3 linked regions of the Macaca fascicularis genome follow. The protein of the gene in region 2 purifies or fractionates together with the protein of the main gene of each other region. This does not show direct contact. Links are inferred from orthologs where the notes say so. Each region holds a gene or a part of one and is shown on either strand. Other genes may lie near its edges.

Region 1 (6,012 bases), on a different chromosome or scaffold from region 2:
AACAGCTTTGACATGTATTCATTTGACATCTGTTTGAGAGTCACGTTTTTTAACTTTTTGAAAATTAGGCTTTACCACCTTCCTAAATTCTCTGTGGCTCCAACTCAGCAGGGCGGCACTGCGAACAGGAAAGGGGGTGGGAGACGGTGAGCAAGGTGACCAGAAAGAACAAGGCACAGAGGGCTTTCCTGACAAGTGCTAGGAGCCTTGATGATTGCCCGATGTCCCGGCTTGTCCTGGACTCCTCATGTACCTGCCAGCTGGTGTGCCAGGGCGCTGGGGCTCTTCTGAATGGCACCAAACTGCAACACTGAATCCTCACTGAATTGAGTCCTCAAGCAACAAGGCTCCTCCCCAGCAGGGAGAAGGGCCTGCCCAGCCTTCCTCTCCCATCCTCTCACCCCACAGACCTAGTAATGGTGAGAGCTGTGACTGTCACCTATAGCTGGCCACCCCAACTACACATTTTGCTCGAAATAACACACACACACACACACACACACACACACACGCATTCTATGTATGCATTCAACCCAATTTTTTAAAATTTGTTTTGGAGACAGAGTCTTGCTCTGTCGCTCAGTCTGGAGTGCAGCGGTGCGATGTCAGCTCACTGCAACTTCCACCTCCTGGGTTCAAGTGATTCTCCTGCCTCAGCCTCCCGAGCAGTGCATGCCACTACACCCAGCTATTTTATTTTATTTTTTTAGTAGAGATGGGGTTTCACCATGTTAGCCAGGATGGTCTCAATCTCCTGACCTTGTGATCTGCCCGCCTTGGCCTCCCAAAGTGTTGGGATTCGGGCATGAGCCACCATGCCCGGCCTCAACCCGATTTTTAAAACTACTTTGTATCCCATTCATCAAATAAAACTAGTCCTCTAAAGAGCTGTGTCTTGTGTTTATCCTACGATTTAGCCCAAATTTAAGAAAAACTATGATGTAGCCCAAAATTAAGAAAAACCATCCCTTCTGTTAGACCCTGTATCTACATATAAATTATCACATTTAATCCTCACAACCTCCTTTAGAGGTAGGTAATGGTCCATTTTACTGATGAAGGAACTGAGACTCCAAAGTGCTAAGCAGCTTGCCTAAGGTCACACATGGTGGATGGGGCAGGGCCAGCCAGCTCGAAACCCAGGTGTGTCCGATGCGGACCATGGTCTTCCTTAGTTTATCATTATTTGCTCCTCCATGGTCAGCGCTGGCAGGGCCTCAGAGACTGCAGGGTCTCACCTACGCCCTCCTCAGATGCAAAAACAGACCCAAAAACCTGTCCAAAGCTACCCAGGGAGGAAGACGCAAAATCAGGACTCAGGCCAGGCGCAGCGGCTCACGCCTGTAATCCCAGGACTTTGGGAGGCCGAGGTGGGTGGATGGCTTAAGGTTAGGAGTTCGAGATCAGCTTAGCTAACATGGTGAAAGTCTGTCTCTGCAAAAAATAAGAAAGAAAGAGAAAGAAAGAAAGAAAGAAGGAAAGAAAGAAAAGAAAGAAAGAAAAGAATGAAAGAAAGAAAAGAGAGGAAGGAAGAAAAAGAGAAATGAAGAAAAGAAAGAGAAGAAAGGAAGGAAGGAAGGAAGAAAAAAGAAAGGAAGAAAGGAAGAAAGGAAGGAAGGAAGAAAGAAAGAAAGAAAGAAAGAGAAAGAAAATCAGGACTCAGAACCTAACAGCTGATCAGTGACACCCTCGGGATGCCTAGACAACCCCCCTCCCCCACTAGGCTAGAAGTATCCGCAGGAAACTACGCTCACAGGTCTACAGTGGATGGCACCCTCAGGAGTCAGGAAATCAGTGTCCAAGTTCTGGCCTTTGGGCAGGTCTCAAATTTTGTGTATGTAACATGGGCCAATTTTGGGGAGACTTTTAAGAGACAAAGGCAGGCAAGGCAAGTAACGTTATAAACCTACAGATTGCCCAGAGGTGATATATCAAGGCTCATCGTAAACTCCGGAAGACTTAGATCCAGCTTTTATCCCTTAAATGGCGTCACCTCGGATCAATTTCTATACCTCAGTTTCCTCATATATGAAATGGGGGTCATAATGGGATCTACTTCATAGAGTTGTTCTAAGGGTTCGAGCGCTTGGAAGTGTCTGGCCCATGGTGATCGCTCAGTAAAGGTGGCTTTTAGTACAGGTTTAGCCTCAAGGCGTAGCTACATTGTAACCCTTGACTACCCCGGTCTCCTCCAAGCTCCGTCGCTCCCGCAGGCCCCGCCCCCGTCCCCGCTCAGTCCCGCCTTCTCCTCCCCAGGTCCCGCCCGCGCAGCACGCCCGGGTTCCTCCCGCCACCAGGGGGCGGCGGCGCTGAGGGCGGCCTTCTGGCCGAAGCCGGCGACGCTCTAGGTAGCTGCGGCGGCTCCTCTGTGGCCAGTGGCTGCGGCGCTCTAGCCGGCGGCCGTAAGGGGCGGGCTCTCGGTGGTGCGGCCGGCAGGCAGCTATGGCGGCCGTACGGGGCCTGCGGGTGTCGGTGAAGGCGGAGGCCCCGGCGGGGCCAGACCTGGGGCTCCCGTCCCCTGAGGCGGAGTCGGGTGTTGACCGTGGCGAGCCGGAGCCCATGGAGGTGGAGGAGGGCGAGCTGGAAATCGTGCCCGTGCGGCGCTCGCTCAAGGAACTGATCCCGGTACGGGCGGGGGTCGGGGGGCAAGGAGGAGGTCGCGGGGCTAGTGCCCAGCGCCGGAGGGGGCCGGAAGGGGCGGTGGCTGGAGCCCCAGCCGGGGAAGTCTGGGGAGCGGGAGAGAAGGGAGCCAGCGTCCTGGGGACGAGGGCGCCGGGCTGGAGGAGGGACGCGGAGCGGGAGAAAGGACGCCGGTGCGCCGGAAATGGGTGTTGAGGGGGCTGGAGGGGGTGGCGGAGAGCTGGGAGAGAGTTGAGGACCCCCCTCCGCTGCCCCCTCCGAGCCGTGCTGTGCAAAGGGGTGAGTGAGGAGTGTCTGGAGGGCTGAGATAAAGGGGGAGCCCTGGGCGGGAACAGAACCGGGAGCAGCCCAGAAGGAGCTGTTGGGTGGCGCCAGCAACCAGGTCTCTCCTGTGGGTCTTGCCCCGGAGGAATTTGTATCTGTGAAACATGGCACTCGCTCTTTCTCTTGGGAGGGCTGCACTTGTCAGCAGCAGAAACTCACTGTTTCTGTCGTGACTTCAGGGTCATCTTGCGCCACCCGCCCCCCACCCCCCCACCCCCCCCGCCGCAGCTCCACTGGCACCTACACCGTGGCCCCAGCATCTCACTCTTAATGAAAGTAAACTAGCAAACGATCAATAGACGCCCTTGATCCCTCATTTACCGCGCTGGGGATGGTGAGGTGTTTTGCTTGTGACTTGGTGGCTGTAGATCCAGTTCTTAGAGCTGATTTGAGGCCTGGATGACTCCTCTTAATTTCTAACTTAATATGAACTACTTTTCACCACATGTCAACATATTTAGACTGAAGTTATGGAGAAAGGTTAAGGTATGATCGCTAGAGATGGCAAACGTTATTGATTATGATTAACAACAGCTAATATATTAGCATTTACCATTCACTACATTGTGTCACTTAAATATACTGGCCATGCACACCTTTAGTGCCAGCTGTTCAGGAGTCTAAGTTCCAGACCAGCCTCAGTAATATAGCAACACCCCTTCGAGGTCCCTCCTTTCGCCTCTCCCCATCTCAAAAACAAAACAAAACCAAAATAAGTATCACTGCAGTTGTGAAGTAGGTGTTATCATCCTTTCAGTCATTCAGTTCGACATGGTTTTTGTTTTGTTTTGAGACGGAGTTTCGCTCTTGTTACCCAGGCTGGAGCGCGATGGCGCAATCTCAGCTCACCGCAACCTCTGCCTCCCGGGTTCAAGCGATTCTCCTGCCTCAGCCTCCTGAGTAGCTGAGCCCAATGGTGCGATCTCGGTTTACCACAACCTCCACCTCCTGGGTTCAAGTGATTCTCCTGCCTCAGCCTCCCAAGTAGCTGAAATTACGGGGGTGTGCCACCATGTCCAGCTAATCTTGTATTTTTAGTAGAGACAGGATTTCTCCATGTTGGCCGGGCTGGTCTCGAACTCCTGACCTCAGGTGATCCTCCCGCCTCTACCTCCCAGAGTGCTGGGATTACAGGCATGAGCCACCGTGCCTGGCCAACATGTATTTATTGCATCCCCCACTATGTACCAAGACACAGCCCTAGGTGCTTGATCAAGATCAACCTCCCTGCTGGAGTGTATGCTCCATATAAACTCTCAATGACAAAAAGGAGCCAACCTTGTGAAGACTGAAAAGGGGTTCCCCCAGCCGGGGCAATAGCAAGCACAGAGGGTCTGGGGTGGGTCCAGGATCGTTGCAAAGTTCTGTAGCGCTAATGGAAGGGCAGTAAAAGAGGTCAGGAAGGCAGGTAGATACCACGCAGGAAACTGGGACCCAGAGAGGTCAAGGAAACTATACAGTGTCCTGTAATTAGTGACCGTCAGAGCTGAGGCTTCCGTCCTCGCTTGGTTTCCAAATCCCATCCCCTTTGCATTGCACTGTGCTGTATTTGCCTCAGGAATTCTAGGTGAGGCTGGACTTCTGCATTGAGGTGGAGGGTTGGGCTCCACCTGGTGGCTGGGCATGGGGAATTCGTTCAGACTAGGTTGGGGAGCGAAGTGACTGTGCTTCATCTTTTGACATTTTCCACAAAAGCCTTTAGATTTTTCTGTACATGGATACTTTCAGTTGATGGAATCACTTCAGGTTTTGGACAGGCTCTGCTCTTCTTATTGGAGTGGTTGATTGATACCATGGAATCACTGGGATGGGGCTTCTTAATAAAAGGTTGTCAGGGGTGGGGAAGGGTTTTGAAAAGAATGACTCTTCAAAAAGAACCAGACTGGCCAGGTGCGGTGGCTCATGCCTGTAATCCCAGCACTTTGGCAGGCTGAGACAGACAGATCACCTGAGGTCAGGAGTTTGAGACCAGCCGGCCGACATGGTGAAACCTCGTCTCTACTAAAAATACAAAAATTAGCTGGCCATGGTGGCGCACACCTGTAATCCCAGCTACTCAGGAGGCTGAGGCAGGAGCATCACTGGAACCCGGGAGGTAGCAGTTGCAGTGAGCCGAGTTTGCACCACTGCCCTCCAGCCTAGGTGATAGAGCAAGACTCCATCTCAAAACACAAACACATAAACAAAAAGAACCAGACTCTGGGTGGTGGCTCATGCATGTCATCCTAACACTTTGGGAGATTGAGGCAGGAGGACTGCTTTAGCCCAGGAGTTGGAGACCAGCCTGGGCAACATAGGGAGACCCTGTCTCTACAAAAATTAAAAAAAAAATGAGCTGGGTGTGGTGGCATATTCCTGAGGGCCCAGCTACTGGGGAAGCTGAGGTGGGAGGATGGCTTGAGCCTGGGGAGTCGAGGCTGCAGTGAGCTGTGATCATTCTACTGCACTCCAGCCTGGTCAACAGAGCGAGACACTGTCACAAAAAAATAAAAATGAAAAAAAAATAAAAAAGAAGAACCAGCTGTCAGCCCGACTTTTATCATAGGTTTTTCCTCAATTGCTGTCTGAATTTCTCACCCTTCCCCTTTGTGTTAGGACACGAGCAGAAGATACGAAAACAAGGCTGGCAGCTTCATCACTGGAATTGATGTCACCTCCAAGGTAAGACAGGCTATGATTTATTTATTCGCTTGATAAGCAAGTGAACTTAATGAACTTGATCCCTAGGACTTAACAGTAAATATTTCCTCTTTTCTTTTGTTGCTGGATTTAAATTTTCTTTCTAAAAAAAAAATGGTGTTATTGGCCGGGCACACTGGCTCATGCCTGTAATCCTAGCACTTTGAGAGGCCCAGCAAGTAGGTCATTTAAGACCAGGAGTTCGAGACCAGCCTGGGCAACATAGTGAGACCCGTCTCTACAAAAGATACAGAAATTAGCTGGGTGTGGTAGTGCAGGTCTGTAGTCCCAGCTACTCGGGAGGCTGAGGTGGGAGGATCACTTGAGCCTGCCAGGTTGAGGCTGCAGTGAGCTGAAATCATGCGACTG
Region 2 (6,203 bases):
CAAGTGATCCTTCCAACTCAGCCTCCCGAGTAGCTGGGACTACATGTGCACACCATTATGCCTGGCTAATTTTTTTATTTTTTTGTAGAGACAAGGTATCCCTATGTTGCCCAGGCTCGTCCCAAACTCATGGGCTCAAGCAATTTTCCCTCCATGGCGTCCCAAAGTTCTGAGATTACAGGCATGAGCCTCCATGCTGGCTGGAATGGTTTTTAATTGTATTGAAAGAAAATAAACTGCAATAGAAATCTTTGCATCTTCTCTGATTCTACTGCCTCCCTCTCTCACTTCTAAAGACCCTTGCAATTACTTTGAGCCTACTGGGCAATCAAGGTATCCCTATCTCTATCTCAAGATCCTTAACTTCATCATATCTGCAAAGGTAACATATTCACAGATTTCAGGGATAAGAATATGAACATCTATGGTGGGCCATCATTCTACCACACCACCAATCTAGAAAATGCTCTCGTCTTTAAACTTCAGTGTCTCTTTTCTTCTATAACGCCCTATGAAAGAAAGTGAATCAGTATTTAAGTACTGATTCTTGGAACAGGACAGGGCACTTTGCATATTAACTCATGTTAACTCATTTAAAGTATCACCAACCTTCAGCCTTGGTGAGGTAGATATTATTGCCTGGATTTTAAAGATTCTGAGATTGATTATGAGAGTTGAAAACTTGACTGAGGTCATTTAGCTGATAAAATGTCTGATTAGAAATGGGTACCCAGATCTGGTCTCCATGACTGCAACCAAGCTTTTTCCACCATACCAAGTGCAGATTGAGTCTTTTTTATGCAAAATGCTTGGGACTAGAAGTGTTTGGATTTTGGATTTTGGTGGATTTTGGAATATTTGTGTATACATAACATATCTAGGGGATGGGACCCAAGTCTAAACGAAATTCATTTATGTTTCACATATACCTTATACACATAGCCTGAAGATTATGTCATACAATATTTTTAGTTATTTTGTGCATGAAACAAAGTTTTGATTGCATTTTGACTGCAACCTGGCACATAAGATCAGGTGTGGAATTTTTCACTTGCGGCATCATGTCAGTGCACAAAAAGTTTCAGATTTTGGAGCGTTTCAAATTGTTGGATTAGAGATGCCCAACCTTACAGATGTTGTTTGGGTTATTCTATGGATGATTTCTCGCCAGTTTCTCAGGAAACACGCTCTACTATAGTATATTTCTTAATGAGTGAAAAAGAAATAAAGAACGGAGGGGAAAGTTTCAAACTGGAGAGACATCCTTGAGTAAAGTATCGTGGCTGAATGTTCCTACCTTTATTGACCATGTGACCTGGTTAAATCACTTAGGTTCTATTAGGCTTCAGTCTTCTCCTCTGTAAAATGAGATGTTTGGACCTAAGGACACCTTTCCAGTTCCCTTCCCGCTGGGACATTCTAGGATTCTGAGAAAGAAGCCCCTGGCCTCAAGAGACCTCCACCCTCTTGGGTGTGCTGTAAGATGACTGCATTCATTTTAGAAGCATCTGAACTATGCCAGAGACAACCTACTGTAGATCTAAGGAAGAAAAAATGAAGGGCAATGAATGCGAGAGGAAGGGGAGAGGAAAGAAGCCCATGAAGATTAGAGATGGAAATGGCAACATAAACAGCGTGCAAATATAACCACTGACGGGTATCTAGCGTTTACATGCAAATAAAACTCTGCTTGTCTCTGAGGATGCAGAAACAACACATTGTTTTTGGCCTTAAGCCGCTCACAGAATGCCCGGGGGTTACACTTTGTATTTAACCATGAACATATAACTTCCACCTTTAGCAGTCCTGCATGTGTGAAAGGTAAGAAAAACGGATAAATGAAAATATTAACAAAACGTTTGAGTATGGCAGAGGCCACGTGAAAAGACGATGTGTGGAAACAGGTGGGACCCACTGGTAAACTGGATGCGCGAGGAGGACAAAGAAATTGCCCCCCACTCCCGGGCCTCACCCAGACACAAAAGAAACGCCCTCTGCCCTTAGAGGAGCAGCCTTTCCTCAGCCAGCCGAGCGGCTGGGTTGCACAGTCCCCGCCCCCGGCCGGCCCCTGTCGCTCCCGCCTCCATCCCTCGGGCCTCGGAAGTGACGCAAGCGCCCCCCACCGCCGCTAGATCCGCTGCTGCTGCCGCGGCGGGCGGACCTGCAGGAGGAGGCGGCGGCGGCGGCGGCGGTGGCGGCCGAGGCTGAGGGAAGATGGCGGACGGCGTGGACCACATAGACATTTACGCGGATGTGGGCGAAGAGTTCAACCAGGTACGTGAGAGCCCGGGTCCCCGTCGCCGACGCGGGCGGCGCTGCGGCTGGGACGCTGACCCGGGGCCCGCTGCGGCCGCGAGCCGAAGCGACTGCAGACTATGCGCCCTTGCCGCCTCTGGGCCGCGCCGCGACCCCCGGCGTGGCGGCCCCCCCCCCCCCGCCCTTCGTTCTACCGCGTCGTTTCACGGGCCGCGGGCGCGGCGACCCGTCGCGGGGCCCGGAGCGCGGATGCGGGCCGCTGTGCAGCTGCCGCCGGCTCCTCCCTCGCCGGCGCTGCCTCGCTCCCTATTGTTGGCGGCACCCGGCTGGCGCTTCCCGCCGCGCTAGGCCCGGGCGGTGGGGCCGCGTGTAAGCGGCGGAGAGAACTGGCCGCCGCCGCGCCCCCTCCCCCGTCGCCGGCCGGAGGAGGAAGCCCCGGCAGGGCGCGCGCCCGCCGCCGCCGCCCCTTCCCCGCCGCTGCTGCTCGGGCTCAGATTCCTCCCATTGCTCCATTTTGTCTCCCTACCCGCGCACTATCGCCTCATGGAAGGCCGCATTCACGGCCCTTTGTATCCCGCGCGCCCAGTCCCTGGGGCTCTCCTCGAGTTTGCGACAGGTTTCGGCGTGGCGCCTTCCTCCTCCCTTCACACTTTCTGAAGGCGGCTGAGGTGCAGGCTTGTTTGCAACAAGTCATTTGACTTTTGGAGCCACAGATAAAAGTCGGTGCGCTGGTCCTGCCTTGTTAATCCAGGGCTTGCAATGCCTTTGAAGCCCAGTCGTTTTTGGCCTTTGTTATGAAAATACCTGTGAAGATGGGTGGCCGGGGACCTAAAGGAAGATTGGAAGCGCGATGTTTGGATGGAACAAAAAGATGTTAGCTCACCCACAGGTCTCATAGTGATTAAAATGAAAGAACGTTCACCCCAAATCCTATGATGTGGTTTAAAAATAGAGTTGTAGATAAGACCCTGTTTTCGAAAACAAAGTGTTAAATCCCCCGGCCCTGCATTACCTTTTGAAAGGTTGAGCGAAAGTGAGAATGCAAGGTTTTCCTGAACGACGTTGCTTAGAGGTAACGCGGAGCTGTGATGTCTGATAATGGGCATCCTTGCAAAAGATGTCGTTTGTTGCTAGAGTAGTGACGTTTAAGGTTTGAACCTGCTGGTCGTATCTTTACTGCATTTTATGTAGTAACACATTTAAAACAAATTGTGCCTAACTGCCGTGTTCCTAAAAGCTTTATTTTTTTGTATTTCCCAGGTCCTTATGAGAAGCTTAATAAAATAATACTGGCTTAATGTGTTTTTTTCCCCCTCCATTAACTGTCATATTCGTGACTAGTTGCTCAGGCTTTTTAAAAACAAGGAAACTCAAGAGCTCTTTACTGTTTTATTTTTCAGGAATGACTTTGTTCTGGTTTAAATATTAGAAAACAGAAAACTACTAGTTGGCTTTAAATGTTTGCTACTCCGTTGAAGACTGGATTTGTTTAAATGTAATACATTGTAATGAAAGGTTAAGTTTTTAAATTTTTGTGTTTTTAAAATTGTGCTTGTTTTAAATAATAATGCTTGAATTGTGTCAGTTACAAATCAGATACATTCCTCGACTGCAACACAGATTCTAACGCTTATAAGACCTCTAGGAAATTTTTTTCCTTTTATTTATCAAGTGAATGTAACAGTGCGTTTAGAAGAGGGCCGTAACTGCAAGGAACAACGATTAAGTGTTCAAGGCTGCCCTTGTTAGCTTTTCTTACAAGAGAATACTTTGCTTCACCTTTCTATGCACAATAAAAGAAGAATTGGGACACAATTTTAGAAGTTAAACTTTTTTCAGTACCTCTTAATGAAATATGTTTGGGCTTTTGCATTCTTAATTTGCGAGGGACATCTCCCTTTTCCGGATAGCTGGGTGGATTGTTATCCCTGTGCAGTAGCAAGTGCTGACTGGGCGGGAGGTAAGAAGAGATTAGTTTTGTGGACCCAATGAGGGACTCCTTTTAAATGTAACTTTTCAACGATTTGTATAAGGTACGTACCACATATCTAACACAGTTGTATAATTTTGCCAGTAAGATCTTTATATGTTTGAATAGATTGATGGCGAGGATACATAGAGGCATTGTTTTTGCTACTTTGCATATCGTTGGCCAATCAATGATTGATTGATTTGTATATCTTTTTGCAGTACCACTGCTTGCTGTGGTAGTTCCTGTACCAAAAAAAAAAAAAGTCACAAAAGGATAGTTGGTTATTTTCAGAGCTTATCCTGCTTTTAAAAATGTTACTGTCATTGAAATGTTTTTCCAAAATTTTGCCACCATTAGAGGCAACCACAAAATAATTTACAACTGATTTAATCTTTACTAGCTGGTGACCTTATTTCTACTAGTTGCTATGGTAGACTTGACCTCTTGTTTTATTGTTGAGTAAAATACTTTCCTAAGTATTAGCCAGTTTTGACTTATTTTGGCTTCAAAACTGTTGTAAACATTAAAAAAAAACTTTGTTTTCCAGTGTAAACTGCAGTTCTAATTGGATTTGTGTACTTTGAAATTCGGCATAGTCTTTATTTCCATTTTCTACTATTTTTTTGTCTGTATCCTGCTGAGTCTCATATTTTAAATGTCATACTTTTATGAAGCTTGTTTGTATTTTGGTAAGGTACAGTATTGTTTCAAAACGTGATTTGCATCTATTGAAGTAGAAAAAAGTGAGGCATTCAACAGTCTTAGCAGAAACTAATTTGTTTGGGGATAGATTGAGAATAATAATTTAGTGAAGCTCTAATAGAGTTCTTTTCTTCACCAGGTGAACTTAAGAATGGAGAATGAAGGGGGAGGAGGCACAAGGGACTGACTAATCCTTATGGGTTCTCTTTAATTCTTAGAGGTCTTTGGATGTCACCAAGTTGAGAACAGTTGGAAGGGCAATTTGAACGTCTTGCAAACCTCCATATTACTTGAAGTTGAGAAGAAAGTGATTCTGTCTCACACTCAATAGTGTGTCAATTCAGTTTAAACTGGGATTTATACTCAAGTGTAGTAATTACTAGCCCAATATTTAGTAAATGTAGATTTTAAAATTCTGGCCAAAACTAAATAATTTAAAAGTTGAATTGTTTAGGACGAGTGTGGTGGCTCATGCCTGTAATCCCAGCACTTTGGGAGGCCGAGGTGGGCAGATCACTTGAGGTCGGGAGTTCCAGACCAGCCTGACCAACATGGTGAAGCCCCATCTCTATTAAAAATACAAAAATTGGCCGGGCATGGTGGTGCCTGCCTGTAATCCCAGCTAATCAGGAAGCTGAGCAGGAGAATCGCTTGAACCTGGGAGGCAGAGGTTGCAGTGAGCTGAGATCAGGCCACTGCACTCCAGCCTAGATGACAGAGCGAGACCCTGTCTCAAAAAAAAAATGTTGAAAATACATTTCTTAAGTGTCTGTTATGTGCCAGCAACGAGGGATACAAAGTTTAGGTAGTCTCTACCCTTAGAGTACACTGGAGGGGAGCTGAGAGATACCTACATACAGTAGTCCACACGTATCCACAGTTCCACTTTCTGTGGTTTCAGTTACTCGTGGTTCTGAGGGCTGAAAATATTACATACAGTAAGGTACTTTGAGAGATACTATATTTAGGTAACTTTTATTACAGTAAACTTATACAATCGTGTCGCTTCATGATGGCGATATGTTCTGAGAAGTCCATCTTAGGTGCTTTCATCATATGTGATCATAGAGTGCTTTTGCATTTCAAACCTAGAAGGTACACCATATATGTAGGCTATATGGTGTAGCCTGTTGCTCCTAGGCTACAAACTTGTACAACATATTACTGTACTGAACACTGTAGGCAGTTGTAACACAGTGGTATTTGTGTATCTAATATATCTAAACATAGAAAAGGTAAGTGAAAATCTTGGTATAAAAGATAAAAAGTGGCA
Region 3 (5,471 bases), on a different chromosome or scaffold from region 2:
GTCTTTCATTGCCAGTGCTTGGCAAGTCGGGTGGCCATGATGGGAGGCAGACAAAAGCTGTGGCTTTTTCTTTTTTCCCTTTGCTGAATAGGCTTATCTCTTAGAATTCATGTTGTCTTGGCTGCTAAGAGCTTCATATGTGAGCCCCAGACACACAGTGACATACACCTGCTCAGGCACCTGTTTCACTTTTGGCATTGAGGAGGTGGGATGTTGTTACTTTGTATATAGACAGCAGCAAATAAAACTTGCAAGAGGAGCTTCTCCTTTAAGGCCAAGAGAATTTCAAACTTCAGTTCTCTTAGGGTTTGAATGGTGAAGACTTACTGGATTTAAGCTCTATCCCTTTGAGGGTAGGACCTGGTGGTAGACCCAGCACGTGAGATCAGTCAGCACTGCTTTCCCTTTGATTTTACTGTAAGCCTTACCACAAAGTAGATCTGTCTGGGTTTGGGATTTTAGTAGAATATGGCATGAGAAAGCAGAATTTATTGGTATTTGCCGTGCTGCTAGCAGTTATACTATCATGTGGTACTTTAAAAAGAAGAAAACTGACCTGTGGTCTTTTCTTAACATGTTATAGATAGGAAAAATATCTAAAAACAAAAAGAAAAAACTGAAAAAGAAACAGAAGAGGCAGGCTGAGTTATTGGAGAAACGCCTGCAGGAGATAGAAGAATTGGAGCGAGAAGCTGAAAGGAAAATAATAGAAGAAAACATCACCTCAGCTGCACCTTCCAATGACCAGGATGGCGAATACTGCCCAGAGGTGAAACTAAAAACAACAGGATTAGAGGAGGCGGCTGAGACAGAGACTGCAAAGGACAATGGTCAGTGGGGCCTCGAACCTGTGCTGCATGGGGTCCTCAGAGCTCCATTAGTAGGGTCCTACCCAGTCAGCTTGGGGGCTGATTTGTGCTGCTGCTGCAGATGACAAGTCCGATTCTCTCCAACTCCCTACTGGGAAATATGGGAGACAGCCTTGTACTTCATCATTTGTGAACTGTATGCCAGAAATATGTTAACATTTCAAAATAGTTTTTAAAAAATGTAAAACGTCTGAGAAATACCATGTTTCTGTCATGCTAATGATGGTGCTTTATTTTGTCATTAACTTTTTACCTAACTGTAATGCACCACAAGTCTATTTCTGAAGATTGTAGAAGGTAGAAATGGAAGTGCAACTTTATTTAGAAAGAGTTATTTTCCCTTAAGGGTAACTTTTTCTTATAAGAGCAGGCCAATTATTAAATGAATGAAAAATGAGATTTAGAAAACCTGAAGCTTTTACCCCAAAAGCAAAGAGGTGTTTACTAGGTGGTACATAAGTTAAACACATTCAAAACGTGTTTTATTGATGGAGATAAGTACTTAGTGAGGCCGTATTAAGGACAGTAACAAGTTCTTATTCTTGACCCATCAACTTCTTAAGGTGAAGCTGAGGACCAGGAAGAGAAAGAAGATGCTGAGAAAGAAAACATTGAAAAAGATGAAGATGATGTAGATCAGGAACTTGCGAACATAGACCCTACGTGGATAGAATCACCTAAAACCAATGGCCATATTGAGAATGGCCCATTCTCACTGGAGCAGCAACTGGACGATGAAGAGGATGACGAAGAAGACTGCCCAAATCCTGAGGAATATAATCTTGATGAGCCAAATGCAGAAAGTGATTACACATATAGCAGCTCCTATGAACAATTCAATGGTGAATTGCCAAATGGACGACATAAAATTCCCGAGTCACAGTTCCCAGAGTTTTCCACCTCGTTGTTCTCTGGATCCTTAGAACCTGTGGCCTGCGGCTCTGTGCTTTCTGAGGGATCACCACTTACTGAGCAAGAGGAGAGCAGTCCATCCCATGACAGAAGCAGGACGGTTTCAGCCTCCAGTACTGGGGATTTGCCAAAAGGTAAGTGTTCTTCCCATCAACTGTCTGCCATTACTGACTCCAGGGACGTGCCGTTAACAAATGCTATGAAGGAACTGGCTGGAAGTGGCCAAGCCCTGTTTGTGTGTGCTAATCATTTTTATTACTTTTATACTCATGAAGAAGTAATGTGATTTAAATACATGTTCTATGCCACTAGACTATCTCTTGCTCTCTGCATACCAAATCTTATTTCTGATCAGTTCTCATTTTTAATATATTTATAGTCAGCAGCATCATTTGCAAAAACTGGAAGGTTTTTGTAAAAAGGTTTTTGTAAAAAGATGTAAAACTACATCTTTCTAGAATGTGTAGTTTAGTTTATCATTTGTATCTTCTTCTATCTGATATTATTATAGTTTTTTTTGTTTTGTTTTGTTTCTATTCAAGAAAAGTATACCTCCTCTTTGACTCTATTGAGAAAGAAGTGTCATATTGTCTTTTGATATTTGTTCCTGATTATAGGACCCTACTATTGATAACGGGCCCAGGATTGTAATTTTCAAGGAATTGGCATGGATTTAGATGTGATGACAGATTATAGGTTGGCTCTTGTGTTCTTGTCTACCTAAGAAGGCTTGACTTATTCAAACCTTTATTTTGGGAGTCAATGCTGAGTGACTCTAGTAAGTGAAACTGGGTAACACAGTTGGTTTCCATTCTGACTCATGGTGGAAAAGCTCTGAAACCTCCTCTGCTCCCTCTGCTGACAAGACTGTTTAACACACAGTGAGTAATTGATGAGCCAGCCGTGCAAACCACCCAAGACATTATACAGCCCCTTTGGTTCCAGAGTCTGGAATTGCACGCTAAGTGAGCTGGCTTTGTTACACGCTGGCTATGATGAATCCTCCTAAGGATTTGCTTTCTTTACTTGGCTGGACGTGGTCAGCTCCTGTTCCCCTGTATAGGGAGTGTTTGAAGGTGCTTACATAGAATGTAGGTTCATGTCTGGGAAAGGGCAGTAGCGAGATGTACCTTATCCAGATTTATTGTTGCTGTTGCAGTTCAATTTTTCTCTTGAGGTTTCTTTTTTCTTTTTGAGATTGAGTCTTGCTCTGTTGCCCAGGTTTGAGTGCAGTGGCGTGATCTCAGCTCACTGCAACCTCTGCCTCCCGGATTCAAGCGATTCTGCCGCCCCAGCCTCCTGAGTAGCTGGGATTACAAGCATGTGCCACCACGCCTGGCTAATTATTGTATTTTCAGCAGAGACGGGTTTTCACCATGTTGGTCAGGCTGATCTCAAACTCCTGACCTCGTGAGCCACCGCGCCCGGCCGAAGTTTCATATAGAAAGTAATTTACAAAGTATCTTTTTAATTATTTCTATTTTATTTATTTATTTATTTATTTATTTATTTATTTATTTTGAGACAGTCTCAGTCTAGTTGCCCAGGCTGGAGTGCAGTGGTGCAATCTCAGCTCACTGCAACCTTTGCCTCCTGGACTCAAGCAATTCTCCTGCCTCAGTCTCCCGAATAGCTGGGATTACAGGCGCCTGTCACCATGCCTGGCTAATTTTTATATTTTTAGTAGAGACGGAGCTTCACCATGTTGGCTAGGCTGGTCTCCAATGCCTGACCTCAGGTGATCCGCCCTCCCCAGCCTCCCAAAGTGCTGGGATTACAGGTGTGAGCCACCATGACCAGACCAAAGTACCTTTTTTATTTGTACTTAGTTTGCAAGTATTAGCTTAGGCTGCAGTGGCTTCAGTTACAGCCAACCCTCCGTATCCATGGGTTTTACATCTGTGGATTTCACATCCATGTGCTCAGCCAGCCTCAGATGGAAAACAGTTGGAGGGGAAAAAAAAAAACCTGTGTCTTTATTGAACATGTACAGACTTTTCCCCCTTGTCATTATTCCCTAAACAATACAGTATAACAACTATTTACATACCATTTACATTGTAGCAGGTATTATAAATAACTAGAGATCAACTAAAGTATATAGGAAGATGTATGTAGGTTGCATGCAAGCACTATACCATTTTATATCAGCGACTTGAGCATCTGTGGATTTCGGTGTCCTCAGGATGTCCTGGAACCAGTTCCCCGCAGACACCGAGAGGCACCCACGTATCATCAGATTAATCCCCAGCTCAGAACTTAATAACTGTGGAACTTTGGTTTCTTATCCTGTCTGAGCCTTGGCTTATTCCTCTATCAAAGGAAAGAAATGGCTACCTCTAGGGTTGTTAGTAGCACTGAGTTAAATACAACAGGTCAATGGCAAAGGTAGATAAATAACATACAATAATATATTGAAAAATTTCCCATTGAATGTAAGTTGCCTTGGTCATCACAATCCATGTAAAGGAGCACAATTGCTGCTTGTTACCACGTGGTCACCATCGAGGCCCAGGCAAGTCATAAAACTTACCCTGTTGTTTACATGACAGCTCCATCTCTGTCACAGGAAACTTCAAACCTTACATGTTAAAAACCAGAATACAACTCACCCTGCCAACCTGCTACACATGCTGTATTTCCTGCGCTTGTTACCACCATTTCTTGTTGCGTCAGTGAGAAACTTGATCATCAGTATGTCCCCCTTTTTTCTCTCACATCCAGTAAATCATCTCGTTTTGCTAGTCATACCTCATAAGTAGGGGTCCTGCTTGCCTTGGCCCTACAGTGGGCACTGTCATTGCTTGCCTCTGCTGTTACGGAGGCTCCTTACTGGTCTCTTGGCTTTGTGTTCTCTCCAGCTTTTCTCCCCACCTGCCTTTCAGCATGCCCTTCCATGGTGCTGCTAGAGTGTCTTTGCAGTATGCTTACCCGATCAGTGTATTCCCCTGCTCACAGTTTCCACAGGTCCCCATCATCTACAGCAGTGGTCTCCACAGTGGAGAGTGTACATCCCTGCATAGCCAGCACCATCCAGGAAGGTGCAGGAAGGAATTATTAGAGCATCTTTGTATTTTTTTTTATTTTGAAAGACTAGTACAATAAACAACTCTGTATCCTCCACATAGATTGAGCAATTAACATTTTGCCACATTGCATATACTTTCTTTACACAGACACTGCATGCTACACATATTAGGATACTTCACTCCTAAATACTTAAGCATTCATCTTCTGAGAGATGAATTAGGATGTCCTCCATTGTAACAATAATACTATTATAACGTGTAAGAATAGCACTAATTTTATATTATTAAATATAATAATATAGAGACAGGGTCTTGCTCTGTCGCCCAGGCTGGAGTGCAGTGGCGTGATCTCGGCTCACTGCAACCTCTGCTTTCTGGCTCAAGTGATCCTCCCACCTCAGCCCCCCAGGTAGCTGGGGCTACAGTCGGCACCACCATGCCTGGCCAATTTTTGTCTTTTTGGTAGAGAAAGTAGGGTTTTACCATGTTGCCCATGCTGGTATTCAACTTATGGGCTTGAGTGATCTGCCCACCTTGGCTTCCCAAAATGCTAAGATAATAGGCCTGAGCCACTACGTGCCTGGCCTAATATCATCTATTATTTATTCCATATTCAAATTTCCTCAATAATTCTAAAATTTTCTTCTTAAATTTTCCTGAT

Evidence for each region.
Region 1: the proteins of CPSF6 (region 2) and NCBP3 purify together in Homo sapiens (co-immunoprecipitation; 3 studies listed by BioGRID and IntAct, with this or other methods). This does not show direct contact. The link is inferred for Macaca fascicularis from reciprocal best matches to the Homo sapiens genes CPSF6 and NCBP3.
Region 3: the proteins of CPSF6 (region 2) and SRPK2 purify together in Homo sapiens (affinity purification with mass spectrometry; 3 studies listed by BioGRID and IntAct, with this or other methods). This does not show direct contact. The link is inferred for Macaca fascicularis from reciprocal best matches to the Homo sapiens genes CPSF6 and SRPK2.

The regions. Positions count from the first base shown.
Region 1 is NC_088390.1:3,889,027-3,895,038, reverse strand, and holds the start of NCBP3 (nuclear cap-binding protein subunit 3), read left to right. Parts: upstream 1-2,419; 5' UTR 2,420-2,442; coding exon 2,443-2,625; intron 2,626-5,559; coding exon 5,560-5,625; intron 5,626-6,012. UniProt on the Homo sapiens protein: Associates with NCBP1/CBP80 to form an alternative cap-binding complex (CBC) which plays a key role in mRNA export. NCBP3 serves as adapter protein linking the capped RNAs (m7GpppG-capped RNA) to NCBP1/CBP80.
Region 2 is NC_088385.1:76,004,170-76,010,372, forward strand, and holds the start of CPSF6 (cleavage and polyadenylation specificity factor subunit 6), read left to right. Parts: upstream 1-2,127; 5' UTR 2,128-2,214; coding exon 2,215-2,274; intron 2,275-6,203. UniProt on the Homo sapiens protein: Component of the cleavage factor Im (CFIm) complex that functions as an activator of the pre-mRNA 3'-end cleavage and polyadenylation processing required for the maturation of pre-mRNA into functional mRNAs.
Region 3 is NC_088377.1:146,651,427-146,656,897, reverse strand, and holds part of SRPK2 (SRSF protein kinase 2), read left to right. Parts: intron 1-583; coding exon 584-830; intron 831-1,432; coding exon 1,433-1,915; intron 1,916-5,471. UniProt on the Homo sapiens protein: Serine/arginine-rich protein-specific kinase which specifically phosphorylates its substrates at serine residues located in regions rich in arginine/serine dipeptides, known as RS domains and is involved in the phosphorylation of SR splicing factors and the regulation of splicing.